3 linked regions of the Rhinolophus ferrumequinum genome follow. The protein of the gene in region 1 binds, or shares a complex with, the protein of each later gene. Links are inferred from orthologs where the notes say so. Each region holds a gene or a part of one and is shown on either strand. Other genes may lie near its edges.

Region 1 (10,494 bases):
GCATGAACTTCATTTAGCAAATGTTCACTGTGTACCTACTGTATACCAAACATTGTACTTTATAGATGGCTCATCAATAAAACGTTCAAGCAAATGGAATTTGACCTCTGTGGTTTCTTAGGTTGAGGAGATTATCTGGAAATCCTTATAATCAATGTCTACTGTTAGTTGTAGCCTGCTAATCCTGTATTAGTAAATTGAATGCTGTATAGTTCTTAAAGAAAAAACAAATTTTCCTTGGGATCAATGTGAATTTAGTATGACTAAGAAAAATGAGGCAGAGTTCAAGGTAAATTCTACTTGTTATTGACAGTTTAGACCACTTTCCTTCCCCCAAAATATTCTGTGATTGCCAAATTAGGTATCAACTCCTCAGCTATACATTCGAAGTCCTAGTTTACCAGTAAAGTCCCAGCTTCCTCTCCACCCTTACCCCAGACATCTGCCCTTTTTACAGTCCCTATATTCTCATCAAAGTAGATTGTTTGCTGCTCTCCTCTAGAAATGATCTCTAATTCATAGGGTTTTTTTTTTAAGTTAGTTAATATAAAAAACATTTATTAAAAGAAAAAAACAGAGGCTACTAGTCACTAATAAGCCAGTGGAATGGGTCCCACCAGGGCGTCAATCCTTAACTTTGGAAGATCTACCCCCTTAGGTGTGGTCAGGAATGGCAAAAAAAAAAAAAAAAGAAAAAAGAAAAAAAAGTCCAAAGAGAAGCCAGAAGTCATGTTTACGCAGGGCTTTTAAGAATACGACTCCCTCACCATTTCCTGTGCTTTTTTTTTGCCCATGCCATTTTCTCCAGGTAGAAAGTCTTTCTCTCTCATTTACATCTCCTAGAGGCTTATTTTATCTTTATATGCCCATGTTTGATGCCATCTTCTCCAAGAAGCCTTTCTTCACCTCTTGCCCCACCTGATGTAATTTCCCCCTCCTTTGATTCCCTGTAGCTCCTTATTTGTAACGTTTTATGGGACCCATTTATTTGAGTACGTGTGTAGACTCTAAGTTCCTTGTTTCTCATCTTTGTATATTAATATCTGTAAGAAATTTGTATACCACTTTATAGATTACAGAAGTTCTTCCTACATAATCTCATAATCTTTTTCTTCTAGCATAGTACATTCAGAAACTCATGAAATTGCTGAAGTGAAGGTGAAAGAAGTCCTGGGCATTTAGAAAGCTCTGAATCTCTCAGTTCCCCAGACCCAACACCTCTTAATTGCATTCATTATGGTGTGACTCATCGCCCATTGATTCCATCTGCTTGGGATATGATCCACAAAAGAGATTTTTTTCTGACTTAAAAATTTTGAGAAACATGATAGTGTAAGATTAATTCCCAAATTTCACATCAGCTTCATAAAGCCCTTTGTATATACATATACCTATACTTTATGTTATATATGTCTGTGTGTGTGCATACACACACGTGCTTTATTGCTTTTATTGAGGTAGAAGTTGATTGGTGGTTGTTTGTTGTTTGAATGTCTGTTCCAGGTTAAATGGTTGTCCCAGGAAGCTCCATCAACAAATAATATAGAAATAAACTATAGATCAGGCATGGCTTAGCTCATGAACATTCTACAGAGGTTAGAATCTTCACAAACCATTGGTTTCCTTTTCTTAGGAAAGGGCATTTAGCTTAATGGCCTTGAAATTTTGAGGAACTCAAACATTGTAAATGTTTGCCCTTACCGCACTGGAACCCCTGAGGAAGGAGAGCAGATTTCGACAGACGGGCAGCAGGATCAGCATGCAGTTGAAATTCAGGCAGGCTGCAGGGGCCCTGGCCAACGCCAGTGCTGACTAGAAGAGGCAGGAGAGGGAGTAGGGTGACACCTGTAAGCACAGAACACTTCCCCCAATTCCCCAGAGTTCCCAACATGCAGCCTACATATCAAGAGACATCAAGTTATCTGGAAAGGAAGGGTCTTCTGAGCCAAAGGTTTACTTTTAGGGCCTGCTGGTACCCTTTGTTTTAATCTGGCCCTTACCCCCCACCCCAACATTTTATTATGAACATTTTCAAACATAAAGAGAATTTGAAATCATTTCACAATGAATACCTGTTTACCCATTTCCCAGATTCCATCTTTTACATTTTACTACGCTTGCTTTATCACATATCTATCCATCTATCTACCCATCCCTCCATCAACACATCTTAGTTTTGATGCTTTTCAAAGTAAATTGCAGATATCAGTTCACTTCCTCCTAAATACTTAAGCATGCATATCATTAACTGGAGTTCAGTATAGAAACTGGGGCTTTTTAAAGCTTTTCTTAGCACTTAGACTAACCTCAACAGTAACTTAAGTTGGTATGGTGTAATGCTTTGGAGTTGTAATTGTTCTTTAAAATACCCAAAGAAGTTGTATATATTGGAGAGGGAAAGCAAAAGGAAATCATCCTTCTCAGCATCAACCTGAATAAGTTAACAACAACCATAATAATGTAGTATGATGATCTAATTATTTATACATATGATGTATAATACATATTATAATTAGATTTATTCAGTAATGAATTCACGGTTTCAGCATGAGGTAGTAAACAATATCTTCAAGGGACAGATGAAATTATTTTCATCTGTAATGAAGAAGAAGAGACCTGGCAGTTCAATGAAACTGGAATTTCCTGAAGATCATTTCATAACATGTCACTAGGAGCGGGGCTCTCCATGCACAAAAGTGGTAGGAATCAGATGATTTACAGAATATGGAAAGTCCCACTTGTCCCACCTGTGTTACCCCTGGATGGATCTCTTCAACCTAGTCTTCCATTCCAGAGCTATTATTAGATGCCTCCTCTAAGCTAAACGTTTCTCCAGTGGTTTTTGGGAAGAGAGGGATGTTGCTGTGACCCTCTGCCACACTTTTGTTTGTCCCACACTGGAAAGCCTAAAGACTCCTCCCCAAGGGGTTGTAATGGAGGGAGTGAGGCTGATGGTGCTGTTCAGGTTGGTCAGAATATTTATTGAAAATGTTAAAAGGAATATGAACGTGAATTTTTGATTAAAAAATGTGAGCTAGTCAATATTGCATGACATGGAACTTATACTTACCCCAAGAAGTTTTCGAGTGTAAAAGAATTTCGGTGGATCATCATAAACCTTGTAGTACCAGACAAAGAGGAAGACGTTCAACCCCAGCCATACCAGCTGCACAAAGAGAAACAGTTGCATGAAGTTTTCACATTTAAACAGGTACATTTCACACAATGTTGGTGTCAGACCAGGGTCAGGAGTTTCCCAACTCCAGCCTTTGATACGGGTGCTTACAAAACTGGTTATAACCATTTTAGAGCCAGCTCTTTCCCAGGCAGCATTGTTATATTTCCTTGTTATTAACCTTTCCACCCCATGTTGTTCCCCATTATTGTTTTACCAGTTGGTCAGTATGCTGAGTTATTATCAGTCTAATTTCCCTCCTTTCTTTCTCCTCCTCTTTTCTTTCTAACCTTAGATAGAGAGACGATAGTAGGTGACTCTTTCTAAAAAGACAAGGGAATGGAACACGTTGCTATGTTGTCCCTTGCTCCAGTAGGACACTGTGTTCTACTCTCACAGGTGCCGATAAACTTCCTCCACCACACACACAGCATCCCACCCAGCTAGTGGGGGTCTCATCAGCTAAACAGTCAAGCCTTTAATTGTATTTGATAACTTTTGCTTAACTTTTGAAGGAGGGGATATTGAGCATGAATGAGGGGGTGAAAGTCATAGGATTTTTTTTAATTGCTTGTTTCATCTGAAGCACTGACTGCATCAATCGATGATACTGCCCAGTCCTCTACGTTCAGCTCCATAGTGATCTTTTTTCTTAACTATGTGTTGAAGCACTAAATGTCCATAGACACTTGAGAACAGTCTCTCTTTAAAAAGAAGGCACTAAAACAACTTGTCTGTTTCCTAATCTTGTCTTTTTTACTCTTGCTTTTCAAGTGGTGCCTTCATTTTGAATTGAATATATGAGTATGTAATTAGAAGGTCATTTCCTGGGGAAAATTGTGGTAGGATCTAAAAGTATAATTTGAACTTGTTTTCTACAGGAGTTATCTGTTCTTCAAATGGTGATAAGAAATCAAGTTAATAGTTCTGACTCCTCAGAAGAATTCTATATTGCATTTAAATGTTGCTTTGGCATAATTTTTTTACATGACAAAATATTTGTTGCTTTAATTATGTTTGTGCCACTAATTTCTCTGTATCTCGAAAACTCAAAGACTGAATATTTACTTCATGATTAATTCTTTCAAAAGTTCCTTTTATAAGAGTTCTGTTTAACCTCTGTATAATGCTTTCATTGGATATTTGAAAAGGATAGTTATAAATCACATTTCTATCTTCCCAATTATCCATGATTGCTTTGCTGAGACCACCATCATAAAATAATAGTTGATATTTGTTATGTTAAAAACTAAATAAACTAATGTGTTTATTTGAAAATTAGCCATATCTTTACTTACAAAAATTATTTCTCAAGATATATTATATTGATTTATATATATAATCACATATAATATATATACTGTATATGAGTCTAGATATCTAATTTCAATTCCCTTCCCTTGATTTTTTTATAAACTTTACAAATAACTCAAATTACCTCAGAGAAAAGAAGATACTTAAAAAAAAAAAACCACAGTTGAGAAGTTCAATTATTTTTGGTGTAATTACTGAAATAAAGGCCAATTTCCCGCACATGAACCAGTCTTGTACTTATTCCTTGGAAAATGGCATAAAATTTTGATTGCCCATTTTTAAAGTGGTATAAACACACAAAAAGTAGAAATTTGTCTCAGAGCAAATATTAATAAACAACTCAGACTCAGGAATCATTATCATGAAATGTCTTCTACTCCCTCTGTGAAATGCTGGCTAATTTAGTACTCCTAAAAACTCAAAAAATAAACTAGGTGAAGTGAGCCCCCAGTTACATTCTTTCCAATACTAACTTTGAAAGAATGGACTCAGTCTGCTTACAAATGCATGCATGTTCACACAGTAAATCAGTTTCAACACAATTTGTCAAATAAACAAAACAAACAAACAAAAAAGTTTTTTTCTATTTTAGTTCCCAAAAGAACCCAGACAAGTCAGAGGATTCATAATGTATCTCTCATTGGTACTTACAATGACAAAGATGGAGAGTCCCTCATTCACAGCCCAGTTCCCCATGGTGGCAGAGGTACAGTGTCTTGTGTCTGCCTTTCTTCTCTGCTATGCTTCTTCCTCCCATGAGGAAATGAAAATAGCGCCTTGGGGCAATCTGTTTCCTTTTCTACTATCAGGAAATTTCTAATCATTGGTCAACTGAAAAGCTTATATTCATAAAAAATTTCAATCTTTAAACCACAAACTACAGAGAAAGGGTCTGTAATGATCCAATCACAACCGAACATAGTGAAAAATGAATGAAACTAATTTTTACAACTGAGTGACAAGTAACAGTGTAATTCATGGGATGTATTTTACACAGTGAATTAAAGTTTTCTTGAAGTTGTGGTTATCCTTTCTTTTTAAATGTGTTCTCAGTCTTTTTTATTAGCATATTTTATTACATTAATATAAAGTGAATTAACTTATCAACTAGAAATTTTTTAAAAGTCACCCAACTAGACAAGACTTTATGCTGGGTGAAAAACATTAAGTAGGTGTGATATTTTTTGATAGGCTAGAGCAGCTTTTTCAGCCTTGTTGAGAAAAATAATAACAATGGTGATGGTTAATATTTATAGAATGTCTATGTTGTGCTAATTTTCTAAGCTACGTATGTATGTATGTACATACACACGTATACATATATATGCACACACAAATATATGTGCATATGAGTTGATAAATATATGCGTGTGTGTACACACAATGACACACACATATACAAATTCAGTATATGTAATTCATTTGATTCTAACAATTCAACCTGTATAACATAGGTTCTATTATTATGACTACATTTACAGATGAGGAAACTGAGACCCAGAGCAGTTAAGGTACTTGGCCAAGGTCACGCAGTTAGGAAATAGTGGAGCTGGGATTTGAAACCCAAGCAGTTTGGCTATACTTTTAACCATGATACCAGAAACAAAAAAGCCTGAGTGTGCCCACCCCATCCAAAATCACTCCAAAGGCTCCATATGTATAGGAAATAAAAATATAACAATATACTAAAATGTTGGGATGACTATAGCATTCCCAGGCAGACATGGCATTCTCTAGGCTAGGAACAAAGGTCAGAAACAGGGTCAGAACAAAGGTAGGTCAGGTGTGGTAGATGCCAAAAGCCAGATTTAGCATTTTTTTCCCTGACTACTAGTCAGTCGTCAGGACATGAAAGGGACAGGAGAGCAGGATGGCAACCCCACTATGAGATCAAAGTTGACTAATTGCACAAGGGTTATTCCCTAGAGAGGTAAAAGAAGAAATTGGAGGAACAGAAGTGAATGAGAGAAGAAAAAAGAGGAGAGGCATGAATTCTTTTGGTTGTTGTGTATAAACAACTTGTGACAGCCTCCAGAATGATGACGATTAGTAAAGTAACATTATTTTTCTCTTTTTAGTATTTAAAGAAAGATACTCAACGGTGACCTTCTCCATTGTTCTTGGACCTTATGTAACCCACATAAAGGGCCATTGGCTTCATGGTTCCATTCCACGCAGAGATGAATTCAAAGAAACACAGACAATCAAAACACGTGACAGTTATTTGCCTCTCTGCTCTGAGATGTAATCCCCACCCTCCCCTTGCTCGGCTCTGTTTTGGAGAGAAGTATGTTTGCCAGGCTCCTTGGCCACTCTGGTTTCTGGTATGTTCAACCAAATCGGAGAATGAGGAGCAGGAAAGAAGCCAGAGTGTTTCTTCCCTGCCTTTCTGCTTCAAGTGGCATCTCTGAAGTGACTGCATTTTCACTGAGGCTCCAGCTCCCACCAATCTGGCTTTCCCTCTGTGGCAGGAGCTCCTGCTGGCCACTGCCACTGTAGTTCTAGTTCCTTCCAGGTGGTCCTGGCTTGGTCCTGGTATTAGTCACACCACCACCTCCCAGTTTCTCCACACCTCTGAGGATTGTAACCACTTTCTGTAGGTGTGAATACTGATGATGCCTCTACACCCATGGTGGGATTCCCTGATTGCCCATCATCCATGTAATACATTCCTGGTGTGAAATTCCCTCTGTTGAAATATGGTGCTTTCTGTTTTTCTGACTGCACTTTGACTGATACAAAAAGTAATTCAGACCTGTACTTATTTTCGCATGTAATTGAAGAAGTGAGGCATAGGTGCCTAATGAGGGATAAAACACCTTCAAAACCTGCTCTATCTAGGGCACTCTCAAATTCTCCCATAGGAATGCCTACTGCTCCATCGAGCTCTTTGAAGTTTATCAAAGTCTTCTTTCTACTTCTTCCCCCTTTTCTCTTTCCCAGACTACTGGTCCATCCTCCCTTAGTCTACCTAGATCTTCAAGTCTCTCCCACATGTTTTTATCCACTTCCTGATGCCTGTGCTCTGCTGGAGAAGCAATGGGAAGGGGACCACGAATACTCATATGCGAAGCAGTCATATTCCTTGTTTCACATAAACCTATTTCTTGAACATTTTCCAATTCCCTTCCCCAACCTCCACAATTGGAGAAAAAAATATTTATAAAAAAGACTTTCTTCCATGGGTAATCAACCATTCCCTCCTATTGCTTTTTTTTCTCCTTTATGCAAATCATCACAAGGAGGTGAGCAGAGATTTTTTGGGTCTTGAGAACCGAAATCAGTCTCACAGCTGGAGTGAAAGAGATCAGTTTCAATGAAGAGTAAACTCTTCCTTTTATGGCAAGTATGTTCCCTTCTGAGAACAGTGTTCTAGTAAACTGTAATGTGCATTGCTCTTGGAAAGACAGGCAGAGAGTTTGATCAAGGAGCAACAGGTATTGGTTGACTGGTATTGACTGGACATGAAGAGTGAAGAAAATTGAGCCTCTATGCATTAGCCAACAGTTTATCTCCCCAGCCACTTTGGCTTCTGTTGTCGCCTAAGCAGTTAGTGTCAAGCTAGACTGTGGTGAACGTAAGGAAGTTCTCACAACTTCCAAGAGGCAGTAAGGACCAGTACCCTCAGGCATATGATTGAAATCCTAATACTTTTGGCTGAGAAAAAAAGAGAAAAGCAGACCCAAGTCTCCAGGAAATTCCCGGAAATTTCCTTTGCATCCTGAGTATAATTCCTTCTTGATTTCTCAAACTGAAAAATTAGGCTCCTAATTTATTCCAAGAAAAGTGTGTGAAATTGCTGAAGAAACGGAGGTGTGTTACTACACTAAGATTCCCAATGAGACTTGTTCCCGCTGATGATGAAAACTGGATTTCTGTTCCTTTCATCTCCGCTGTTCTTTCCGGAATTGCCAGGCTGCCACTCTATATGCCTCTGTGAGTTATGTGGCCCCACTCTCCTTGCCTAAGGATGACCGGTAAAAAGACTTCATCTCCCTGGACACACTGATTGTCCCAGGGGTGGGCACTTGACCCTACCAAGGCCAATTGGAGTTACTTGCATGCGGAGGGAGTTGTTGGGGACTCTGGAGGAGAGAGGGTGAAGGCTTTCTCTCTTTGTCAATGATGTGTGCCTGCTGCTGCCATACATAATCTCTACTACCTTCTGCTAAGAAGCTGTATAAGAATTATGTCAACACAAATGAAATCTGATTACTAGCCGGGGAAAGACAGAGAGGTTTGGAGACAAATACGATGACAACGTTTGAATTCTCGGGTCTGGTCTGCCTGAAACCCTGGGACATCTAAGTTATTCTTACAGACCGGGGTTCCTGGAAAGTAGACTCTGAGATGGAGATTAGTGTTCAGAAGTTTTAGTAGAGGGTACCTTTGGAGGTAAACATCCTTAGAAAGGAAGGAAAGATAAGAAAGTAGTAGTGAGCAGAAGAAGTTGAACTATCACGTGGTCACATTAAAGCCTCAGCAACCCTGGGGAAAGAGCTAAAGCTGGGATGATTCTGAATGAGCTTGGGCAAGACAATTCCCTTCACTGAGACAGTCTCTGTAGGTGCTGACAGCAGAGGAGCAAGTCCTTCATTCTTGAAGGTCAATCTAGTCGCCATATTATAGTATCCAAATCAGTTACACAAGCCATACCTTCCCACCACCACCACTTCCTACTTTTAAAAAAATAGTTGGCTTTCTACCACTTATACCTAGAAGGGTTCCTAGTAAAGCATGGTGTAATGAAACCCACTTTTATTGTAGAACCACAATCTCCAAGGTTAGTGAAATTTGAATAAGGCTGCTGGAATAGGATCCAGATGTTCTATTTCCTGTTTGAAGGAGAAAATCAAGTAAAAGAAGAAACACTCAGGGAGGAAGGGACAATTTACTGATGTAGGTGACTAAAGGAATTAAGAATATGGTTTTAACTGGCATTTCATTTAATAGATGGTAAAAATGTCTGGTGATGAAGATTTAAAATTTAACTCTTTATGTTAAATATGATTTCAATACATGAATCCATCAGAATAAGGAAGAAAATGAGGAAAGCTTGCATATTTTCTCTCACTAATCATTGATTTGAATTTAAAACTTTCTAATATGCCTGCTGTGTAAATTGGCCATTTTCTCTTTTTTTTCTTGAAAAAATCTATTTGTATAGATTTATCTTGGTCTTAACAACAACTAACATTTGTGATGCCAGATTGTGGTAAATATATGCCAAATGCCTTATGTGCTTTGTCTCATTTACTTTTCACAACCACCTATAAGGTATATAAAATTACTATATCCATTTGTAGTAGGATGAAAATTGACCCCCCCCCCAAAAGATATCTACATACTGTACATATCCCTGGAAACTGAATATGTTACCTTACAGGGTTAAAAGGACTTTGAAGATGTGATTAAGTTAAAGAGTTTGAGATGGGGAGATTATAGATTATTTTGGGTGGGCCCAATGTAATCACAAAGGTCCTTATTAGAGGGAGGCAGGATCCTCAGAGGACTAGAGAGAGGACATGAGGAATGAAGCAGAGATTAGAGCGGTGAGAAGATGCTATGCTGCTGACTTTGAAGATGGAGGAAGAGGCCAGGAGCCAAGGAGTGTAGCTCTAGAATCTGTAAAGACAAGGAAATGGATTCTCTTCTAGAGTCTCCAGAAGCAACGCAGGCCTGCTGACACCTTGATTTTAGCTCAGTGAAATTGATTCCAGACCGCTAATGTCCAGAACTGTAAGCAAATTAATTTGTGCTGTTTTAAGCCAGTCAGGTTGTGGTAATGTGTTACAGTAGCAATAGGAAACTTGTACATCATTTTATAGATGAGAGATAAAGGTCCTAGGGAGAATAAGTAACTTGTCCAGTTACTTGGCTACTGAATCCAGGAGCTGAGATTTGAATCTGGGCAGTCTGGTGCATTGCTACTTGTTTGAGCCACCAGAACCATTTTGTAAAGCTAGGGCTTCATTGTAAATAATAAAATCATTTCATGAGCATCA
Region 2 (10,494 bases), on another chromosome or scaffold:
CGTGAGCTGTGCCGAGGGTTGTCCTCGGGCAGGCTCACTGCTGTCTGGGCCCTCAGTCTCCTGGGCAGGTGGAGCGCCCTTGCTGGGGAGCTGGAGGCCGCCCTGCGTCGCGTCTTCTACCCTGACGCTGTGGAGGAGTGGCTAGAGGAGAACGTGCAGCCCAGTCTGCAGCAGCTGCAGCAGCTGCTGCAGGACCTCGGCGAGGCGGCTGGCCCCGGGCCCCCCCTGGCCAGCCCGGGTCCGGACACAGGTCAGGACCCCTGAGCGGAGGGGGCCTGCCACACCCTTGTCCAACCACGTTGGGCTTGATTCCTGAGTCCTGGATGGCCGTGCAGAGACGGCGCCTACGGTGCACGTGGTTATCGTGGGGAGAGGAAGGTGGAAAACACGGAAGGAAATGCACGTGGGGCCCCGTTCACTGGTCTGGCAGAGAACGTTAATGCTTTTGAAATAAAAAGGAAAGTAGAAGCTCCAAGTCACGCTGAAGGAATTGGCCAACCTCATTATGCCGCTGGCTCAGGCTGGTGGCAGTCAGGCCTTTGCAGCGGCCCCAGCACAGGGTCCAAAACAAGCCAGCCCAGGTGAGCGTGGGGTTGGCAGGCCGACCCCTACCCCTCCTCAGGGCATCTCTCAGCCCTCCACACGAACGTACCAGAACCCAAGTACAGCATTTCACTCTTTATTTTAGGGAAAAAGCATTTCAGATTTGGCCATTGAAAAACCTAAGTGGGCAGCTTTAAATGACTGTTCCCAAACTAAGGGCTGGCTGCCGAGAAGAGAAGATGCCAGCAACTGCTGTCCTTACTGTCCCCCAGACAGCTGCAGCCCTGATTTGGGCGATCCCCGGTTTCCTGAGCTCTCCCCGGCAGTTCCCAGATGCAGCTTTGAAGCTTCTTCTCTCGGGGTCCAGCTTGCATGGGCACAGCCCACTTCCTGCCACATACCAACAAGCCCAACTGCCAGGTCTTCCCAGGGTTGAGAGAAGCTGGGACTCTGATTTCTAAGGGCGAGGTCCTGGTTTGAATGCATGACGCTGGACAAGATAACCTCTTTTCTTGCCAAGTAGCCTTGGCCTGGGCTGAGGGGAGGGAGGGGCTGCTCCCCGTGATAGCCCAGCTGTAGTCCTGCTTGGATACGAGATGAGCCACCTTGGTACAGAGCGGTTTGCAGCAACCAGAAGAGCCCCACAGTGTCCACAGGCAAGCACTTGTGACTACTGGGGACGTCTGGACAGGAGAAGGATGCTGTGTGGGGCCGGTCGGAGAAGACGCTGGGATCCCAGGAACACGCTGGCCTCCGTGTCTGCAGAGCCTGACCCAGCCGCTGGCCCCACGCTGGCCTGCTGAAGCACCACTGTAACCTGCGCGCTGGATCCCCGTGGGACGTGAGCTGGCAAACCTCCCCACTCCAGTGCTCCATCTCGGCAGGAATGCTGGCCCCAGCCCTGTCACACCGACACTGTTCAGGCACTGTGTTTCCAGGAGGCCTATGCCCTTCCTGCACCCGTTGGAGGCTGCAGAGAAGGTCCAGCTGTGGTTTTGCTCAGAGGGCAGATCAAGCAGCAGAATGCCTCCCTGGGGCTGCCAGGGACTCAGTCGGGTGAGGAGGGAGATGGGCAGGTGGCCCATCAGGCCTGCCGAAGTGCTGTCAGAACCAAGGCCAGGGGCTCCAGGGGGGTCAGCTCTGGCTCTCAGGGCCGTCGGCCTCGCTGTCGCTGCTCTGAGACAGCTCCATGGGACTCTCAAGGCGGTGCAGCTCCAGGAAGGTGGCAATGAGCATGGCGATGGCTTCCACGTCACTGGGCCGGGCCAGCACCGAGAAGAAGGGCTGGTTGCCACACTAAGAAGTGCCAGCACCACCAGGGCTCCCCACCAGGACCCAGCACCTTCCGTCCTGGCCCCTACCCTCACCTGACCCCAGCCTAGCCCTTGTCCTGTAGGGACCCCTGAGGCCCCCATCCCCTGTCCCGTCATCATGGGGAACCCTGGCATCCCTATCCCCTGCTGTCCCTGTGGTGACCCCCGACACCCCCTAGCGGTGATGGCAGGCCTGTCCCCAGCCGCCTCTCCCCGTGCCCCACTGGGCTGCCCCACGGTACTGCATGGTCTGTTGTGAGGACCACCCGACAGGGTGACCCAGCTGAGCAGCCCTGGCCCATCACACTGGCCGCCTCGGCTTACCTGCGGTGGCCCATGACAGCGCTCTGGGTGAGGGGGTGGGAGAAGCCCGTCGCAAAGCGCAGCATCACCACGTAGCCTTTCCCAAAGTACCGCACCTTCTCTTCCTCCACGTTCACGTCCCGGATGTCATTCAACAGGACCACCACTGCGGTGGGGACAGGTCAGGTGCATGGCAGCAGCAGCACCCCCCCATGTGCTGGGCATGGTCACTTCAGGGGCCTCTGCAGAGGACCGCATCATGCTGGCTACTCTGCAGAAAGCGCTGGTCACTGTCTGAGTTCCAGCCTCAGAACACAGCCGAGACGCTGACCTGGGATGTCACAGGTCAGTGACCAGTGCAGGGCCACACCGCTGCCGGTTAATGTCCTCTGGGTGAGAAGGAATGTTTGCTGGACCCATCGTGGCCTTGAGAAGCCTGCCTGTCATCTCATGAGCAGTCTGACACATCAGGGGGCAGTTCAGCACGATACTGCCTGTCTTGCTGCTTCCTTTCCCCAACTGCTGTAAATGCTTTCCTGGACCCTAGTGTCTGGTCAACGAGCTGGGGGCCGCCTGGCAATAGCCTTCAGGCCAGGGTGCATCTAGGGGCACCCCATGTCTGTGAGGTGGTCCACAACCCCGTTCACCAAGTGTTTCCAGGCCTCCGGCCCGGTCCCAGCCATCACACACGTTCGCTGCCCTCCATCCAGCTCGCAGTACCCAGTGTCCCTTTTGATCCCCACAAACCTTGGTCATGGCCGACTCTGGAAAGAGTCAGCAGCTTCTTATACAAGCTAAACGTCTTCAGCACGACCTTCCCAGTGCTCTTGTCAAAGACAGCTTCCTGGAAAACCCCCAGAAGGGTCGTCACCCGGCTGCTGACCTCTGTCATGAGCCGACTGCACACCAACCTCCAGGGAGGGGGCCTGAGCTCGCTGACTGTCCCACCCTCGCCAGAGCAGGCACTGAAGAAGGGGGCACCCCTTTTCCTTCCCATCCCAGTAACCCTGATGCCCCAAGTGCTGCCCTGCCAAAGCCAAACACCTGCAGCCTGACCCTAGGACTCCAGACAGTTCAGGGAGCACAGCAGGCCGGGGGTAAAGAGAGCGGGACACCAAGGCAGGTGCTCTCTCCTTTTTGCCAGCAAAAGTAGAATGGCCAAGATCATCAAACAAGGGAATGGGGGCCAGGCAGCTCAAAGGACTCAGGAAGGGAGTAAGGAGGAGGGGACTGGCCTCCAAGGCAGCAGGCTGGCACCTCGTTTCATTCCGTGCTACAACACTCAGGAGGAAAGTGGGTAAAACAGTCATGAAGAGCTTCGAGGAGAAAAATAGCTTCAGACGATTCCTTGGCCCAGGAAGTCACGGACAGCCAACACCCAGGGGCTGAGCCCAGCTAACCAGAAACCCCTGCGCTAGCGTCTCAGGATGGGGCACCAGGCCTGGACCTGCCTGCCTGCAGAGTCTCACTGCAGCAAACCCGAGCTGAAACCGGTGCCGGCCTTACCTCCCACTCCTCCAGGTTCTGTACGGCCACGAACAGGCAGCCCGTGACATAGAAGAGCTTCCAGCCCAGACTATCTGGAGGGTAATCACAGGGCACAGCCAGTGAGGGAGGATGGCAGTAGAGGGGCAGAGGCCAATCTGCCCACAGGGTACCCCCCAGCACAGCTGCTTTCCCAGACAGGGCAGGGGTGGCATCTGGGGGTCCCCACCCAGGGCAGCTGCCTGGCCTTGCTGGCCCTGCCTGTCACTCAGGACCATGTGGGACACATCCCAGCGGCTCTTCCCTCAGCTCTTCTGGGTCTGGGTGTTTACTCAAGTGGTCGGATCTTGCCGGTCATGGCATGGTTTGTGATGATGGAGAAGTGGGGACACTCATGGGGAGTGGCTGACGGCATGGTGCGTCCCTGCAATAGAACCCTAAGCAGATTCAAGAGAGCGCCTTTTCGAAGGATAATTTTTGACACAAGAAAATGCCCGAGATGTAAGAAGTTAACGGCGCAGGCTGCAAGGGACGTGGGCATTAGGAAGAAGACCCGTGCACGGGGTAGTGCACCAAGGTGGTGCAGTGCCCATGGACCACCAGGGGGCGGCGGTGAGGGCTGCCGAAGCTAGGCCTTGGATCACAAGCCATGGGCTTGCCTTTTCTATTTTCTGAAGAGCTGAGGAAGTTCCTGGGGGGCAGATGGTGCATCTCACCTGCACTGTAGTAGGCAGCAGCCAGGCCAATCGACAATATTCCTGCGAAGAGAAAGCGGGTGCCTTCCTATTGGGCCCCCACCAGCGAGAGCCCACCTCCTCCCCACTGTCAACAATGGCTGTGGGCGGGGAGCAGGGCAGAGAAGACCACCAGATTCAGAAGTGGGGGAACAGCCAGGAAGTTCATTCAGAAACATGGCATATGCTGTTCATAGTATTCACTGGACATGTCCGTCCATGCGAGCCTCCAGAGCTGACTGGGGAACAAGACAGGGGCCTGAGGTGGGTTTTACCCACGTGGTGTGGAATGAAGACAGGAGGGTAGCAAAGAATCACAACACGAGAAACAGGCAGGAGGTCACATGCAGGGTCATGGGAGAGAAAGACCAGAGACAGGCTACTGAAGGCACAGCAGCCTCTCCTCACACCTCCAGTCCAGTCCACACAATGCAGCTGCCTGGCAGGTGCAGGACCCTCCGATTGAGTGGCGGAGATGGAGGCCAGGGCAGCCTCCCCCACTTACTCCTCACTGAGGAAGAGGAAAAACGGACGCACTGTCGCCCATCACGTGGGCCTGTGACATAAATCACAGACACCTGCGACCAGGTGTATGGAAGCAAGTGAAACAGGAAACATGGGTATAGGGACCTCAGAAGAGCACACAGCGTTAACGGAAGGATGTTAGGTGGTGAAAAAGACGATAGACATACATCATCTATAACATCTATGCACATAAGATAAAATTTGCAAGAATACAAAGTAAAATAGTTACTATATTTTGCGATAGTAAAACAAGGGAAAAAATTCCGTTTAATTTTCATCCTTCTTTAAAGGCAGGTTTTTTTATTTGGGGGAAAATATGGAAATCCTCACCAACTAGCAGAGACCAGGATCTGATGCCCGGAGCCCTCTTCAAATGAAGGCAGGAGCTGGTACGCGTCTCCACCTGCATGTACATCCCTGGACCGTGTGGGCACCACTCTCAACAGGAGACCAGGAGCTGGGGAGGGCAGACACAGACAGCTGGACCCCTGCAGTCACTGCCCACTGACAAGCGTCTGGCTCACCAGGGCAGGAAGCCGGGGCTGGCCCACCAGCAAGGCCAGTACAGCCTGGGTAACCAGTCAGCTTGTGCTGACCGCAGTCTCTGTGGCCACCAAGCACATCACTTAATCCCCCAGGGACTGGTTCTCTGTAAGTTAGGCCCTTCTCTACTGAGTTATACTGACTGCACTGGGCTACTTCCTGCTCAGACTTGCAAACCGTCATCAAGCACTCGATCATTACCTGCCCCATGACCTGGGACTGGAAACGTCAGTCTCAGAAACCGTTAGCCCGCTGCAGCCTTCAAGCTGCCGGCACTGTACCAGAGCCCAGCAGAATTCCCTCATTTTCCTGTGCTGGCCTCCGCCAAAAAGGGGAACTGCAAGTCTCCTCATGGTTTGAGTCTGTTCTGGCATGGACACAAAAAGCCTGCTCCAGGGTCTCCTCCAGCTGCTGAGACAACAGCCTGCACAGTCGGGGCCCGCAGGTCTAAAAGCATGGGCTGCAGCAGTGAGTCCCCCAAGGGAGCTGACCTTGCACTCACCCTGCAGACCAGTACAGTCAAGACGCTGGCCCCCGGGACCCGGCTCTGAGTCGCTGCCCAGATATTCTCTGCAAAGTGAAATCAAATTAGCGGATTTAGTTCTCACACAAGAATCCTGCATCTTGGCACATCACTGGGCTCCCTCGCTTACGTCATTCATCTGTCTCCACGCGCGTCTGGGCTGCCCGCGCAGCAAGGTCACTGGCCTGAGCGAGGGCCGCCAGCCTGCCGCCCAACCCCTGCAGCCCCCCGGCCGCGGCCTCACCGGCCGACGCGGATGCGTCCCGAGCCCGCAGTCCCGAGAACGGGATCTGCAACCCCCAATGCCCACCGCGATGGCGACCACTGCCAGTCGCCTACCGAAAACGCAGACCGGCGGACGCAGCAGGGGAGGCCTGGGTCCGCTGACTTCCAGGGTTGGGGGCGGGCCGACTGACTTCCGGACCCGCGGGGCAGGGTGAGGGCTGACTTCCGGGGTTGGAGGCGGGTCGTCTGACTTCCGCACCCGCAGGGTGGGGAGGGACGGCGGTGACTTCCGGACTTGTGGGGCGGGGCGACGCTGACTTCCGGTTTGGGGCGGGACCGCAGACTCCTGGAATAGGAGCTGGGTGTGGTGCTGGTTCAGCAGTCGTGAGGACGGCGTATCCTCCGAGTGGTTGGACTCCAGCGGAGGGAATGTAGGAAAGGGGATGCGACAGCGCTGACTTTGGGATTGGGGGCGACCCTGACTTCCGGCCTCCCATTTAACCACCCCAACGTGGTAGAGTGAAAAATGATCCCGGAACAGCCCTGGCTTTGTTGCAGAGCAAGTGGAGCCAGCAAATGCAATCAGAGAGCAAGTGGTCTGTGCAGTGGCGGCCGCGGGTTGTGGAGGCCCCCTCCCTGTCCTGAGAACGTCTGGGGTAACTGAACCCTTAGAAGGTCTGTCATTTATACCTAAAAACGCCGTTTAAAATGGCCAGGAAAATATGAAGCATTTAAAGTTAATCTAACAACAGATGTGTGCAAATTTATGGTAAAAATTGTTTAAAAGTTGCCTTTACTATTTCCAACCAGATGAAGGAAACGGACCCTACCTGGAACAGGAGAGCCTCCACCGCACAGCCATGGCCTACTTCAGTGGTCTCCAAAGTGGGATGAGCAAGATCTGTGAGATACTGGAAGAAGATACTAGAGCTTGCGTTCCTATTTATTTTTCTTTCAATATCTATTTTTACATGTTTTGTAATTTACATAGTTTAATACAATAGTGTATAATATTGCCTCATAAAAAATATACATACATCAGTATGTATAATCCTAGCAGTTTTACCAATATACGGACACGATAAAAATTTTGGAGACAACTTTTCTCCTTTACCAGTCGACTTCGGATACTCTCTGCCTGTGGTTCCTAACCCTAAACGTGCCTCAGAATCACCTGGTGGGCTTGTTGAAATACAGACTGCTGGGCCCTATTCCCAGAAGTGGGTGGGACCTGTAAACTTAGATGTTGCTGATACTTCTGGTCCAGGAATCACACCTTGAGAACCTCTGCTGTAAGCTGCAGCAATACTGGGCTCTGCCTGAACACGGTAGGTTCTCTCAGCTCACATTCTGCTTTGTTGAAACGGCCCTCCCTCTGTTAAGATTCTACATCATCTTGAAGGTCCATTTAAATTGTTGGTAACTCCTTAAGTCTTTACTGTTTGCTGCAGCTGGAAGTGATCTTACTTCTCTGAATTTAGGTAGAACTGAGTTGATACCCATAAAATTCTACTTTGCATTACAGTTATTTGTATAATTTCATGTTTCCTACTAGGTTATAAACCATTTAAAGATGAAGGCTACGCTAGCGTTCTGCAAATATTAAATGAGTGAACAAATAATACCTGATTTGGTTAAAATCCTGCTGAATATTGGTAATGGCAAAAGACTGGAAGTAAATACAATGTCCCTAAGTGGGGGAACTGAGTGAATAAAATCTGTATACTGTGCCAATTATCAACGCATTATATCTCAGGTCTAAATTCCAGACTTCATTGCCTGCTCTGTGAAAATGGATCTGAGCCCTTGATTTTTTATTTTATTTTTATTTTTTGGTGCTCTCTAGTGTGATGTTAAGCTTTGTCAATAGAGGGTGATGGATAGACACTGCAGGAAGAAGACCTTTTCTTCTTGGTTCTTGGAGAAAAGACTGATTTCGGATCTGAAGCAAAAAATGAACAAGGAAATGTATCAAAAAGCAGAGAGACTATTAGTGTCTTATTAGAAGAACTTCAGAGCCTAACTGAAGAGATTCTCATTGCTGAAAAAAGATAAGTATTTGAGCAACAATAAGCATAATTAGAATGAATTGAAAATACTCATGTATTTAAGTACATCATTCATCATAATGGAATTTTTTTGTTCACTTTTGAAAGATGATGAGAAACAAACTTGGTCTTTTTGACCAGTTAATGAAGGAAAAGAATCAAGCATTTATCCTGCCTTTCTTTATAAACTTTACAACGGAGAAACCAAACAGTGGAGAAGAATTTCTCATTATAGAAGTATTCCCTCTAATAAATGAAGAACAAATGGTAGGATTTAAATATCACCCTAATGGATGGATGGGTGGGTGGATTAATCGAGCTAGGCAATTTCATCAATGGCTGGTAATTAACATCACAAAAAGTAGAAACTCCTCATGGAATTACACAACTGGCATCTATGAAGTAGTCTTGCCAAAAAAAAAAAAAAAAAATTTAACCTAGGATCAAGCCACTAGAACGTTCCAATTACCCTTTACTGTAAATTCAGAGGGCAAAGGTATACTAAAGGACTCCAGGAGGATGCAGTCAGTAATTGCAAGAAACCCTAGGTGAACAATCTGATTTCTTGAATGGAACCTACACATGTAAAACAAAACAAAGATACAGACTTAAGACACAGATTTCTCTGTACTATCTGCACCTTCTAAGTGATCCTCAAGTTATTTCAGAACAAAACGACTTTTTTTTTAAAAAAAGAGAGACTTAAGAAATACAAAAACAAATTGTAATATAGACTATTAGAACATATTGGACCTTGTTTAGATCCCAATTTAAACTAAAAAAAAGAATTTGATTGGGGAAACCTGGACACTATATTTTTGATTAAATTAAGTAAGTGTAATTTGCTTTTTTCACACATGATAATAGTATTGTTTGTTTCAAAATCATTAACAAAAATATGTACAATGATAACCTAAACTTACCCTCTTGTGCTGAAAATTGAAGGAAGGTGTTTTCTGAGCAGTGCTGACATGGATTTGAACAATGCAGAACGTTAATCTGGCAGCCAGTTAATACCTGAATTCAATTTGTAAAAAGCTGTATTAACCAAAAATTCTGTAAATAAAAAAAAAATTAATGGGTAAAAAATTAAAAGACCCTGGTTAGGTTTCTGGGACCTGGAATACCCTCACATATTTTGTGTTGATCTCTGTGACTGCAAAGTTTCTGGGATTCCTGAGGACGCCTGGTGTTTGATAAAGACACACACAAGTTGCTTTTCTTACTCTTAACTCTAACAAGCATGCTCCCATTTCTAATTGTCCTGTGTGACTATGCACTGGTTTTATAAAATGTGTATCACGAAGACTCCATTTTCATTTAGCCCTGCACAGTGGTATCATTTCTTGGAGAAACAATATTCTTTGTAAGGTGTAAGGGCCGAATCCCCAATGCGCCTGCTATGACGCAGACCAGACACCAGTATTCAGCAGCGCACACTTCACACCATCCTCGTGCTCGGGCGGACCACGTGCTGCCAAAGTACCGCCGCGCGTGCGCACTGCCGCGTCGCCGGCCTACGTGATGCGCCTCGGGGAGGCAATGGCGGCAGGCCGGGGCCGCGCCTTCTCCTCTCCTCGCTGGGGCGGCGCCGTCTCCGCCGGGCCAGCACCAGAAGAGAGGTGCGTGACCGGCGCGGAGCTGACGTCCCCCAGGGCCGCGGTACAAACACGTCTCACTGCCTCCGACACTAGCTCACTCCGCGCCGCCGCGCGAAAAGTGGCCCAGACCTCCGGGGCGTCCGAATGAGGCGGGCCGCGCTCCGCCCCCGCACGCTCCGATTGGGTCCAAGGCCGGGCCCGCCCCTCTTCGGCTCCCTTATTGGCGGGGCGGAGCCGCTGGGTGGGGCCGCGCCGGGGGCGAAGACAACAAAGGGCGGCGAGCGGCTGGCGGCGGTGACCGAGTTTCCCGGTGCTTCCCTCAGGTCACGCACCCCGGCCCTCGCCTACCCCGCTCCAGATGAAGTGTGAGCACTGCACGCGGAAGGTGGGCCCCGGGCGCTCCGGCTGGGGCCCGACGGTCGGTCCGGCAGGGGGTCGGGCAGGGGGTCGGCCCCCCGGGGTCGCGGGACTGGAGGCTGAGTGAGGGTCAGGGCGTCGGGGCTGCTCGCTGACCGGCCCTGGAGCCCCTGTCCTCAGAGCGGGCGGCTCGGCGAGCTTGGGCGGGGGCGCGCTGGCGGCCGCTCGCCCGCGGTCCCGGACTGGCCGCTGCGAGGGCCTGGGCCTCCGCGTCACTTCGCCGACCGCCCTCGG
Region 3 (10,494 bases), on another chromosome or scaffold:
TGCCTCATTGGGAAACGCCTATGCCTTGCAGTTCCGGGCCGAGGCGGTGGTGCCAGCTCGCATGGCAGAGATGACCCGCTACATCAAAGAGAGGGACTTCCAGGGCTTTGGCCAGCTGACCATGAAAGACAGCAACCAGTTCCACGCCACCTGCCTGGACACCTTCCCGCCCATCTCTTACCTCAACGACGTGTCCAGGCGCATCATCCACCTGGTGCACTGTTTCAACACCCACCATGGGCAGACCAAGGCAAGGCGGGGCCGGGGCGGCCCTGGAAACCCGTGGAGTGGGCTTGACGCAGTGAGCTCAGTAACACCATGTCGTATCCCAGCACACGCTTGGCTGTGACAAAGCTTCACAGAACCTGCTTTACACCCCTGTGTGCAGGGCGCTGACAGTTTCCGTTTCACTGTTTCATTTTGGTTGCCTGACCCACTAAGGGATCGCAGCCCAAACTCTAAAGCACTGGTGTGGGGGACTGCCTCCCCGCCACATCCTTAGTTGGCGGGCAGAGGTGCCACCACTCCACTCGCGGTTGGCCCTGTGGGCACTGTGGGAGCTCCCGGGTCTCCATGGCAGATGAGAGGGCCTGAGAGGGGTGGAGCCACTGTTCAGGCGATGATGTTGACTGCTTGGGTTCCAGGTGGCGTACACGTTTGACGCGGGCCCCAATGCCGTGATCTTTACCCTGGACGACACTGTGGCCGAGTTTGTGGCCGCTGTGAGGCACAGCTTCCCCCCTGAGTCAAATGGAGACAAGTGAGTTGTGGGTCCCCCCATTTGGGAGGCCTTGGAGGGAGGAGCAGGGTCTCCTGCTGAGCTCGGGACAGCTGCACCTAAGGCTGCTGCTGAATGGGGAGTCCCGCAGGGGACCACAGGCTGTGTGTCACTAGTATGCCTTGCTGTGACCATGGACTCGTCTTCCTCATACACCCCAGCCCCGTGGTCACAGAGACGGGCACATGCAGCGTCATGGCTCCTATGTGGACAGTACTCAGGGCCCCACTATGGGGACGGAGCATTTGGATTTCTTCCTACCCGTTGTTTTAATGGTCCTTTCTCAGTGTGGGGACACCTTCCTGTAGGGGTGTTGGAAGCGTGCGGGGTCATTTTCTCTGTCTCCGTAATTGGGGTAGTACTGACGTCTAGTGAGTGGGAGGCCGGAATACTAACTTCCTTACCAAGTAGAACAGACCACACTACCATGATGGCCCCCGAGGCCGCTGGTGCCCTCGTTGGAAGCTCTGCTCTCATTGGCCTTGTCACCGCAGTGAGTAGTGTGCAGCTTTTCCTGTTCTGAGGAACATGGTAATGGACTCTTGCTTGACCTGAGGCATTTTCTTCTTAAGTTGTGTTACCCTACTGGGTGGAGCAGTAACCCCAGGCCAGGGATGAACTTAAAACCTCCGGGAGGTTTCTGGAAACCCTCCTCTTCACAGTGACCCCAGCCAGGTCCTTGGTTATTCCTGCTTAGTTTTTTTGTGTGTGCGGTAAAGCACACATACACATAAAGTTGATGATTTTAACCACTTTAAAGTGTACACTTCAGCAGGATTAAGTACATTCAGTGTTTTGCAACTAGCATTTCTATCTGGCTCCAGAATTTTGTGACTCCACGGCAGTCACACCCCTTCCTGTCTCTTGGGTCTGCGTGTCCTACGTTCTTCCCATCAGTGGACTCACAGCACACTCATGCCTTCCTTTCCCCAGGTTTCTGAAAGGGCTGCCCGTGAGGCCTGCCCTGCTCTCAGACGAGCTTAAAGCTGCGCTGGACATGGAACCCACCCCTGGCGGCATCAGATACATCATTGCTACTCAGGTGAGGCCTGGCACCAGCCCTCAGCCCCAGGGCCCAGGGGTCCCTGCGGCCCAGCACACCTGGGGAGGGCCCCATCCGGCACACAGGCCTTGAGGACTCAGACCTGGCACGTCTACCCGGTGAAGGGACTCCCCTTCAGCCCCACTTCATCTGGGCTGGGTAGCCAGGTTGCTAAGAATAACAGCAAAAGGAGGAGGAGTACCACACTTCTGTTTTCAAGGCATCTGGTCCACTATGGTTTGTTTCACTCACTCGCTCTCAGCAGGAACATTTTAAGACATGCTGTGAGGTTTGGGGCAGCATTCCCAGTGCTGAGGGGGGCAGGTGAGGCTGGGAATGTAAGACTCCAGGAGACAGGTGCGACGGGTCCAAGGACCCTCAGGGCTCGCCCACTGGAACCAGATCTGGGTCCCTGCTCAGAGTGGCCGAGCCGGGATTTCACTCAGATCGTCGATTCCAAGTCCCCATGCCCTCAGGTGCCCAGGCCCCGGTCTCTACCTTTCATTGAGTCTGGGTGATAGAGGCCGAGAGACCATGTAGCTCTGTCTGAGGAAGTTGGGCACAGGGCCAGGGTGTCACCACACGGGTGGTCAGCTTCTGACCTGCCCTTACCTGGGAGTTGGGGGGTATACCTGTCCCTCCCTGTCATCCCAACCTGACACTGATTTCTCTACCTGCCAGGTGGGGCCCGGGCCTCAAATCCTGGATGATCCTCTCGCTCACCTCCTGGGCCCCGATGGCCTGCCAAAGCCAGCTGCTTGACCAGTTTCTCGACAGGAGCCTTGGCCGCTGCTTGGAGAAGGGCCGCTTTGCTGGGAGAAGGGGCCACTTTCCACTTTGCTGGGACTGGGGAGCTGCTTGTGGCGGTGCCTGTACTATGCTTTTTGGGGCTGGTGGGTGGCCACCTCGCCCCAGGCCAGGCAGTATGCCGGGGCTGAATAGGGGCAGTGGAGTGACCACTTGCAGGCGCCAGGTGGTCAGGAACGGGCCCCCCACCAAGTGCCTCACCTTCCCCACCTGCACCAATACTGTGCTGAGATGAGGGCTGGGGTCAGATGTGGGACCTGGGGGACCGAGCTGATGGTGGTGAGCTGCTGGTGTGTCTCCCTGAAGGATCTCTGGCCCTGAGCCCTGGAGCCACTCGCACTGACTGAAACAGGAGCTGGGCCACCGGAGATGATGGGGAGTTGGCATCCCTCTGTGGAGCTGGAGGACCAGTCACTGCAGGGAGCTGCCTCTGCAGGCTCCAGAGCCCTCCATAAAGTGCTTTGAACATGACAGTTGTCCCAGCTCCTCTGCCAGAGCTCAGGCCACTGGGTGTGGACGTAACGTTTCTTCATAAAAAGACCAGGAGTTGTCTCCAATGGGAGGTGGGAGAGCAGCACCATGGTGCGTTGTCACAGGGAGCCCTGTCAACAGACCACGGAGAATAAAGCCAGCGTTGCTGATTGGGCCTGGCGTGCTTCTGTCTAAGCAGTGTTGCTGTGTAGGCCGTGGGCAGCGCTCAGCGGGAGGGGTGGGGAGGGTGCGGGCTGCGAGCCTCCTGCAGGAGCAGAGAACTTAGAACTCGCGCATTTGCTAACTTGCTCCTGAAGAAGCTGCCTTCTCCCAAGGTCCCCTCATTGCCCAGCCCTGTGGTGGGTGTTCAGCACACAGCCACCCCCCAGGGCCACAAGCCACACTCAGTGGCTATGGCTCTGACAGGCCTGGGGACATGGTTTGGGCCGGCTTTAAGCTCCCAGTCCATGAAAGAAAGTGGGAAGCAGCTTTGCAGGGAGGAGCACTGATTCAGGAGGGTTCCCCTCAGCCCAGAAGCTTATGGGTTCTGGAGCCCAGGAATTGCTTGCACTTCTAAATGGGTTTTTCCATTGTGTGCAGGTCATCGACCTCCTCTCCACTTTCCCAGCTTCAGCACAGTTGGCTTAGAGGAAGAGGAGAGTGGACATGTACACCTATTGACCTACCTCCTGGTTTCCTGCCTCTCCCCCGGAGAGTCAGCTGCTACCGCTGCTGGGTGGGCAGAGGAGGGAGATGACAAAGGGACAGGGCCAGCACTCTGACATTCTGGGTTTTCCCAGGAGCTTTGTACACCCTGTTTCCTTCCCCTAAGTTAGTCCTGTGGACAGGGCTGCTCACCATACTTGCACTAGCCCAGGGCCAGATGAGGAAGTAGGCGCTGGGCCTGCCACTGACCTTCCTATTGGGCACTGACTTCCAGGGAGGGGTTCCCCAGGCTCTGACTCCTGGTCTGAGGTCCTTCTCCCTTGAGGGGAGTTCCCCCGACCCCGCAGTGGGCATGGTGAAATCGCTGGACCTTTAAACCCTTCTGGGAACCTGGCCTGCTCACTGTCCTCTGTAAGCACCTAAGAGAGCCCAGCATTATGAGGGCACTTTGCCTTCTGAGGCAGGTGTCCATCTCATTGGTCCCCTCTCTGCCTATGTCCAAGACCCCCAAGCGATGCTCAGGATGTCCCAGGTTGACCAGGCTGGGAGCTGACAGGAGAGGTGCCTGGCACCAAGTGGGTGGGGGCCGCTGTTTGCCCCGGGGAAGTGAGGCAGGGGGCCCCTCCGACCCTCAAGCAAAAATTCTGTTGTGCGGGGCAGACCTCCGGAGCACCGCCATAGCCTCGGGCCCCTGCTGTCCAGGCCCGTCACTTGGGAGCGGGACCGGAACTCGGGGCGGGGCGGGGCTGCACCCGAGGAACTAGGGGACAGGGTGGGGGTGGAGCCGGAACTTCGGGCTGGGAGGTGGCTGGCGCGCGGGGCTCAGTGTCCCAGCGGAGCCAAGCCGAACCGCGCTGCGGGTCGCCATGGGGCAGATCGAGTGGGCCATGTGGGCTAACGAGCAGGCGCTGGCGTCGGGCCTGAGTGAGTGAGCCCGGGCTTGGCCCGCGGGGCGGGCCGGCAACGCCGAGACCCCGGGCTGCAGGCCGAGGGACCGGGTGGGCCGGCCACGGGGCCGGGGAGCCAGGGTCCTGACGAGTCAGAGACTCGGCTGCGGGCCGCGAGGCGGGAGCTGAAGCCTGGGGGTGAGGGTCCCCAAGACTTATGCGGAAACCTGCAGCTGCGTGGCGGGGAAGTGGGCCTGGGGCTGCCCGGCAGTGGGAGACCTCGGGCTAGGGAGGCGGTCTGGAGACCCTCCTGTCCCCGCAGATACCCGCGCCCCCGTCCCCTCCCCCTTTCCACTGTCCCCTTTTCACCCCCTCCACCCCACCAGGACCTCACACCACCGATAGAGGAAGTTGCAGCCCTAGGGGAAGAGGCCTTCACCCCGGGTGCTTTCCGGGGAGTTACCACCCTCCAGGATTGGGGAAACCTGGCAGGACCACCCGCTCCTGCTGTTCCTCCTGCCCTGGAGTGGGGCTTCACCCCAGGGGTCGCGACGGGCTCCCTCCCCCGCCCTGAGCCTTCACAGGACATCTAAAACAGCCCAGAGGGACCTCTCCCAGCCCAACTATCAGAGACTGCTTCTGGGGAAGGATGGCAGGCCTCCTCAGTCACGCTGAGCCTGTGTTCAGGAGCTCTGGTGAAAACACAGTGGGGTCTGCACCCCTGTGCTGTACTTGGAAGTGGAACCTCTCAGGGATGGTGAGACTGGGCCCAGGCAGAGTCTGAGGCAAGAGGAAGCTGCCCAGAGGTTCTGCCCGCCTCTGGGGACCTGCCACTTCCAGGAAGGACCTGCACCCAGTGGGAATGAGTGGGTGGAAAGACAGTAGGGAATGTAGTGATGAGGAGGGTCCTAGCCCACCAGCATTCCCCTGGGACCCACCCTGAGGCCCCTCTGCCAGGGGGACAGGAGTCTGGTGAAGCTCTGGGAGGGAAGGGAGCAGATGTAAATGAAGTCTCTCTCGCCGCTGAACTGTAAGATCACGTTTTTGTAAGATCACGTTTTGGGGTGAGCAGTTTTGGGTCATGAAGCCCAATGGTCTGTTCAGGCAGGTCACCCCCTTGAGTTTGGCGTCTAGGGTGAGAAGTCAACGAGTGAGAAGTCAGTGAGTTAGATAGTTGTCACTTTTTTTTTTTTTTTAAAGATTTTATTGGGGAAGGGGAACAGTGTGTACTTCCAGGACTTTTCCAAGTCAGGTTGTTGTCCTTTCTTAGTTATGGAGGGCGCAGCTCAGCTCCAGGTCCAGTTGCCGTTGTTAGTTGCAGGGGGCTCAGCCCACCATCCCTTGTGGGAGTTGAGGAGTCGAACTGGCAACTTTGTGGTTGAGAGGACGCGCTCCAACCAATTGAGCCCTCTGGCCACCCGGGAGCTGAGCGGCAGCTCATTGACTTCATTCTAGTTGTGGAGGGTACAGCTCGCTGGCCCATGTGGGAATTGAACTGGCAGCCCCATTGCCCAGAGCTGGCACTCTAACCAACTGAGCCACCCGTCCGCCCCAGTTCTCCTCACTTCTCCCCAGAGTTGTCCCCAAGCTGTTCCCCTGTCTGCCACAGGTCATGAGACCTTAAACAGCTGCAGACCAGCCTCCCTTCCTCTTACAGCTCCTCAACCCCCAGGAAGTAAAAGGCGACAGAGGGCACCAAACTGGGAGCTCTCTGAGATGCATGGGTTTGAGTCCCCTTGGGTGCAGCACCCCCAGCACCCCCGTTCATGGCATGCCCACTGTGTGCTGGCTGAACCTTCCTTGCCTTAGCTAATGTCCTTAGGGTCTGAGGCTGGAGCTGTTCCTGCATCTACTTTACAGACAGTGAAATCAAACCTAGAGAACGTACAAGCTGCAGCTCAGTTTCCTCCATCACCAAATGAGGCAGTTTATTGGAAGGTCTTCTAGGGCCATTCCTGCTCTGAGTTCCTCCTCTTGCTGACTTTTTTTCCTGATTCAGTATAAATTGCAGCCACCTGAGACTGCTCAGGCCTGGCTGGACCCTGCTAGCAGCTGCCTCCAACAGGCTTCTTTTTTTTTTTCTCATATGTTGAGCTTCTTTTTTTTTTCATATGTTGAGCCGTTCTTTGAGCCGTTCTTTTTTATTTATTTATTTATTTTTAACAGGACTTTATTGGGGAACAGTGTGTACTTCCAGGACTTTTTTCCCAAGTCAAGTTGTCCCTTCAGTCTTAGTTGTGGAGAGCGCAGCTCAGCTCCAGGTCCAGTTGCCGTTGCTAGTTGCAGGGGGCGCAGCACACCATCCCTTGTGGGAGTAGAACCGGCAACCTTGTGGTTGAGAGGACAGGCTCCAACCAACTGGGCCATCCGGGAGCTCAGCGGCAGCTCAGCTCAAGGTGCTGTGTTCAATCCCAGCTGCATGGGGTGGAGCCCACCATCCCTTGTGGGATTCGAGGAGCTGAACTGGCAGCCTTGTGGTTGAGAGCCCACTGGCCCATGTGGGAATCGAACTGGCAGCCTTCGGAGTTAGGAACACGGAGCTCCAACCGCCTGAGCTACCGGGCCGGCCCAACAGGCTTCTTTCTTATTGTAGAAAATTCCATCTAATCAGATCATGTCCCCTCCTGCTGAAAACCCTCCAGTGGGTCCAATTGCGAAGAATAAAAGCCAGATTCTTACTGCTCTGTCCCTGTCCCCCTGCCTTCTCTGTCATTCCAACTGCACAGGCCTCCTCTCTGTTCCCAGATTTCCTAGGCATACCCCAGGACCTTTGCATAAGCGGTTTCTTCTGTCTGAAGCATCCATGGCTGGCTCCGCCATTCATTTCTCAGTTCAAATGTCACCTGCTTAGAAAAGTCTTTCCAGAGCACCTAGACATCTCTGTCACAGTCTCTTGTTCTAGTTCACCATCTCTGATGTTTATTTCTGTCCCCTCCTGAGACTATAAGCCCCACGAGAACTGAGGCCTTATCTGTCCTGCTCCTGCTTCGTCCCTACATTCACTTACAACACCCAAGAGAGTTAATACATAGCTGAGCTCAACTCCAAGGGTGGGGAATAATGCTGGCAACAGAAGCGGAGTGAGGTTTCTAGGTGGTCGGTTGGGGCAGAAGGAAGGGGTACCTAGGGAATTGGGACCAACAAATGCTCGGGGTTTTACCCAGTGGGATTTTGGAGCCTCTGTGTGAAAAAGGGCTGAAACTAAGCAGCATGCCTCAGTCTAGAGCCAGGAAAGGCTACTTGTACAAGACACAGACTAGAAAACTGTCCCCCCCAAGGAAGCAGCCATCCGCTGCCAGGGCCTGGATGAAAAAAGCAACAAACAAGGCAAAACCCCTGGAAGCTCAGGCTTGTGCTACCGTGTTTCCCCGAAAATAAGACCTAGCTAGACAATCAGCTCTAATGCGTCTTTTGGAGCAAAAATTAATATAAGACCAGATCTTATTTTACTATAATATAAGACCAGGTCTTATATTAAATTATATTATATTATACTATATTATAGTATATTATATATATTATATTATATTATATTATATTATATTATATTATATTATATTATATTCCCGGTCTTATTATATAAGAACCGGTCTTATTTTACTATAAGACCGGTTACTATAAGTCTTATAGGTCTTTACTATAAGACCTTATTTTAAAATAAGATCGGTTCTTATATTAATTTTTGCTCCAAAAGACACATTAGAGCTGATTGTCCGGCTAGGTCTTATTTTCGGGGAAACATGGTATGCATGGGGTGAAGGCTGAATCTACTCTACCCTGTGCTACAAGGACCACTGACCAAGAAATTCAGATAGACTCCATTCAGGACTGGAGAAACCTATAGAAGCAAATGTGAAACTGTTCTGTAAGGGCATTTCCTCAACCAGGACACAAGTCTGCCACAAGAAAACAGATCCTGCTGGGCACAGCTCACAAACATACCCACCGTTTGAGGAAGCAGGCACCATTAAACAGGAAAGTGTGCCTCCTTCAAACCACAACTACTAGTGCCCTTTGGGAGAGACTTAAGAATACGTGTACCTGTTTAAATAGATGGTTATGTTCAAGGGGAGAAAGGAGTAGAAAATTATAGAGGACAATGCAAATAATGACTAATATAGAATGTCTAGAAATAAAAAATATAAAGTCATTAACGGTTAATGGATGAATTAAACACTATCTATAGATGACAAGAACATTATTAAAGTGGAAGATGAATCTAAGAAAATCTCACAGAATGTAGCTGAAAGAAGTTGAGTCGGACAATAGTACAGGAAGACCCAACATATATATATATATTGGGGGTTCCGGAGAAGAGAATCAATAGACTGGAGGGAGGCAATGTGAAAGGGATAATGAACATTTCCAAAATTGAAGGAGAAAAGAAAGTTCCTTATAAAATAAAGGAAAATAAATCCCTTCTTGGACACATTGTAATAAAATTACAGACCATTAAAGAAAATCTTCATTTTTTGTTTTTTAAAGAAATTTCGAGGGTCAGAAGCTTTTACTTATTTTTTAAATTTTGGGGGGGAATATTGGGGAACAGTGTTTCTCCAGGGCCCATCAACTCCAAGTCGTCCTTCAATCTAGTTGTGGAGGGCGCAGCTCAGCTCCAAGTCCAGTCGCCGTTTTCAGTCTTTAGTTACAGGGGGCACAGCCCACCATCCCATGTGGGAATGGAATCCACAACCTTGTTGTTCAGAGCTCACACTCTAACCAACTGAGCCATCCGGCCGCCCTGAAAATCTTCAAATTTACCAGAGGGAAAAATGGATTAGTTTAAGACTGATTTCAGACTTCTTATCATCAATAATAGATGCCAGAAGACAATGGAATATTATCCTTGGTGCTCAGACAAAAACATGAATTTAATATCCAGATGAGCTATCATTCAGAATGAGAGTATTTTCAGATATCCAGAGAGTTGCTGCTAACATACCCTCATCAAAAGGACGACTAAATGATGTACTTCAGGAAGAGGGAAATTGGATCTTGAATCCAGAAGAAAGGATGGGATGCTAGAATGAAGATATTGGTGACTATTGACTGTAAATAATTAATAATAATGAGTAATTTGGGGATGAGATTGAAGTTAAACATTCTACATGTGGTTCAGAAAGAGGAATTTTAAAATTAAAGTTTGATCAAGTCAGCAGGAGGCAGGAGAAGCAACAAAAGCACTTGTTAAAGAGAAAACACAAAACAAGATAAAATAAGTTACAGTTATCTGCAATCACAGTCCATAAAATCTGTTAAGTACACTATCAGATTGGTCAAAAATTCAGCTATATCAGCTTATTCGTAATAGCCCAAAACTGGAAGCAACTGACATTTCCCCAAGATGGAAGAATGGATAAATTCATACAATAGAAACAACTCTATAAGAAAAAGTGATCCACCCAAACACGGCATGAATGACCTTGACAGCCTTCCATTAAGCAAAGGAAGCCAGATCTAGGGTTCCAGTCTTGACTGGATAGGGGCACAAGAGAATTTCGGGGATTATAGGAATCTTGACTTGGGTACACATGTAAAAAGGCATCAGGCTTATGCCTGTATATTTTACTGTGTGTAATAATTATACCTCAATAAATTGCTGGAAATTCTGGGGATGGCTGGTGGTGATGGTTGCACAACAGTGTGAATGTACTTAATGCCACTCAACTGTTAATTTTAAAATGGCTAAAATGGAAAATTTTATGTTATATATATTTTACCACAAACAAAAATTGCAAAAAAAAAATTACTGGGGAGAAAAGATCCAGATGTATGTCACTTACAGCAAGAACACACAGAGCTGAAAATAAAGGGTTGCAATAGCTGACAAATACTAACCAAAG

What was found.
Region 2: the proteins of cytochrome b-245 heavy chain (region 1) and cytochrome b-245 chaperone 1 are in contact, whole or in part, in a cryo-EM structure (PDB 8KEI), measured with the Homo sapiens proteins. The link is inferred for Rhinolophus ferrumequinum from reciprocal best matches to the Homo sapiens genes CYBB and CYBC1. Residues at the interface, in NP_000388.2 of Homo sapiens: Trp28, Asn74, Leu75, Leu76, Ser77, Phe78, Leu79, Arg80, Gly81, Ser82, Ser83, Ala84, Cys85, Cys86, Trp206, His210, Phe212, Pro266, Met268, Trp270, Lys271, Ile273, Tyr280, Tyr324, Phe326, Lys328, Leu335, Glu336, Trp337, His338; in NP_001028218.1 of Homo sapiens: Arg22, Leu26, Ala37, Ser41, Gly42, Asp43, Trp47, Phe50, Tyr51, Phe57, Gln61, Asn62, Glu64, Lys77, His97, Asp98, Gln99, Val100, Val101, Val102, Leu103, Arg108, Ser111, Glu115, Val117, Arg118, Tyr119, Phe120, Arg129, Ala131.
Region 3: the proteins of cytochrome b-245 heavy chain (region 1) and cytochrome b-245 light chain are in contact, whole or in part, in a cryo-EM structure (PDB 8X2L), measured with the Homo sapiens proteins. The link is inferred for Rhinolophus ferrumequinum from reciprocal best matches to the Homo sapiens genes CYBB and CYBA. Residues at the interface, in NP_000388.2 of Homo sapiens: Thr116, Ile117, Leu120, Phe121, Val123, Glu124, Asn128, Asn133, Lys161, Asn162, Pro163, Gly166, Leu167, Ala170, Val180, Thr183, Leu184, Ile187, Leu188, Thr191, Ser192, Thr194, Lys195, Thr196, Ile197, Arg199, Ser200, Tyr201, Glu203, Val204; in NP_000092.2 of Homo sapiens: Gln3, Ile4, Glu5, Trp6, Met8, Trp9, Glu12, Gln13, Ala16, Ile20, Thr23, Val27, Gly31, Phe33, Thr34, Gln35, Arg56, Arg59, Met65, Gly102, Phe103, Leu104, Leu105, Ala106, Ile108, Leu109, Ala112, Cys113, Ile116.

The regions. Positions count from the first base shown.
Region 1 is NC_046284.1:95,744,386-95,754,879, forward strand, and holds the start of cytochrome b-245 heavy chain, read right to left. Parts: upstream 5,287-10,494; 5' UTR 5,186-5,286; coding exon 5,141-5,185; intron 3,167-5,140; coding exon 3,071-3,166; intron 1,813-3,070; coding exon 1,702-1,812; intron 1-1,701. UniProt on the Homo sapiens protein: Catalytic subunit of the phagocyte NADPH oxidase complex that mediates the transfer of electrons from cytosolic NADPH to O2 to produce the superoxide anion (O2(-)).
Region 2 is NC_046304.1:55,075,232-55,085,725, forward strand, and holds cytochrome b-245 chaperone 1, read right to left. Parts: upstream 6,309-10,494; intron 6,017-6,308; coding exon of another isoform or gene 5,938-6,016; intron 5,361-5,937; coding exon of another isoform or gene 5,343-5,360; 5' UTR 5,319-5,342; coding exon 5,234-5,318; exon of another isoform or gene 5,233-5,233; intron 4,403-5,232; coding exon 4,361-4,402; intron 3,740-4,360; coding exon 3,666-3,739; intron 3,004-3,665; coding exon 2,907-3,003; intron 2,326-2,906; coding exon 2,181-2,325; intron 1,799-2,180; coding exon 1,678-1,798; 3' UTR 664-1,677; downstream 1-663. Other genes in the region: HEXD (hexosaminidase D), read left to right, coding at 33-264; NARF (nuclear prelamin A recognition factor), read left to right, coding at 10,202-10,228. UniProt on the Homo sapiens protein: Functions as a chaperone necessary for a stable expression of the CYBA and CYBB subunits of the cytochrome b-245 heterodimer. Controls the phagocyte respiratory burst and is essential for innate immunity.
Region 3 is NC_046298.1:33,291,636-33,302,129, reverse strand, and holds the start of cytochrome b-245 light chain, read left to right. Parts: upstream 1-4,548; 5' UTR 4,549-4,630; coding exon 4,631-4,688; intron 4,689-10,494. Other genes in the region: MVD (diphosphomevalonate decarboxylase), read left to right, coding at 32-250, 645-760, 1,712-1,820, 2,502-2,582. UniProt on the Homo sapiens protein: Subunit of NADPH oxidase complexes that is required for the NADPH oxidase activity that generates, in various cell types, superoxide from molecular oxygen utilizing NADPH as an electron donor.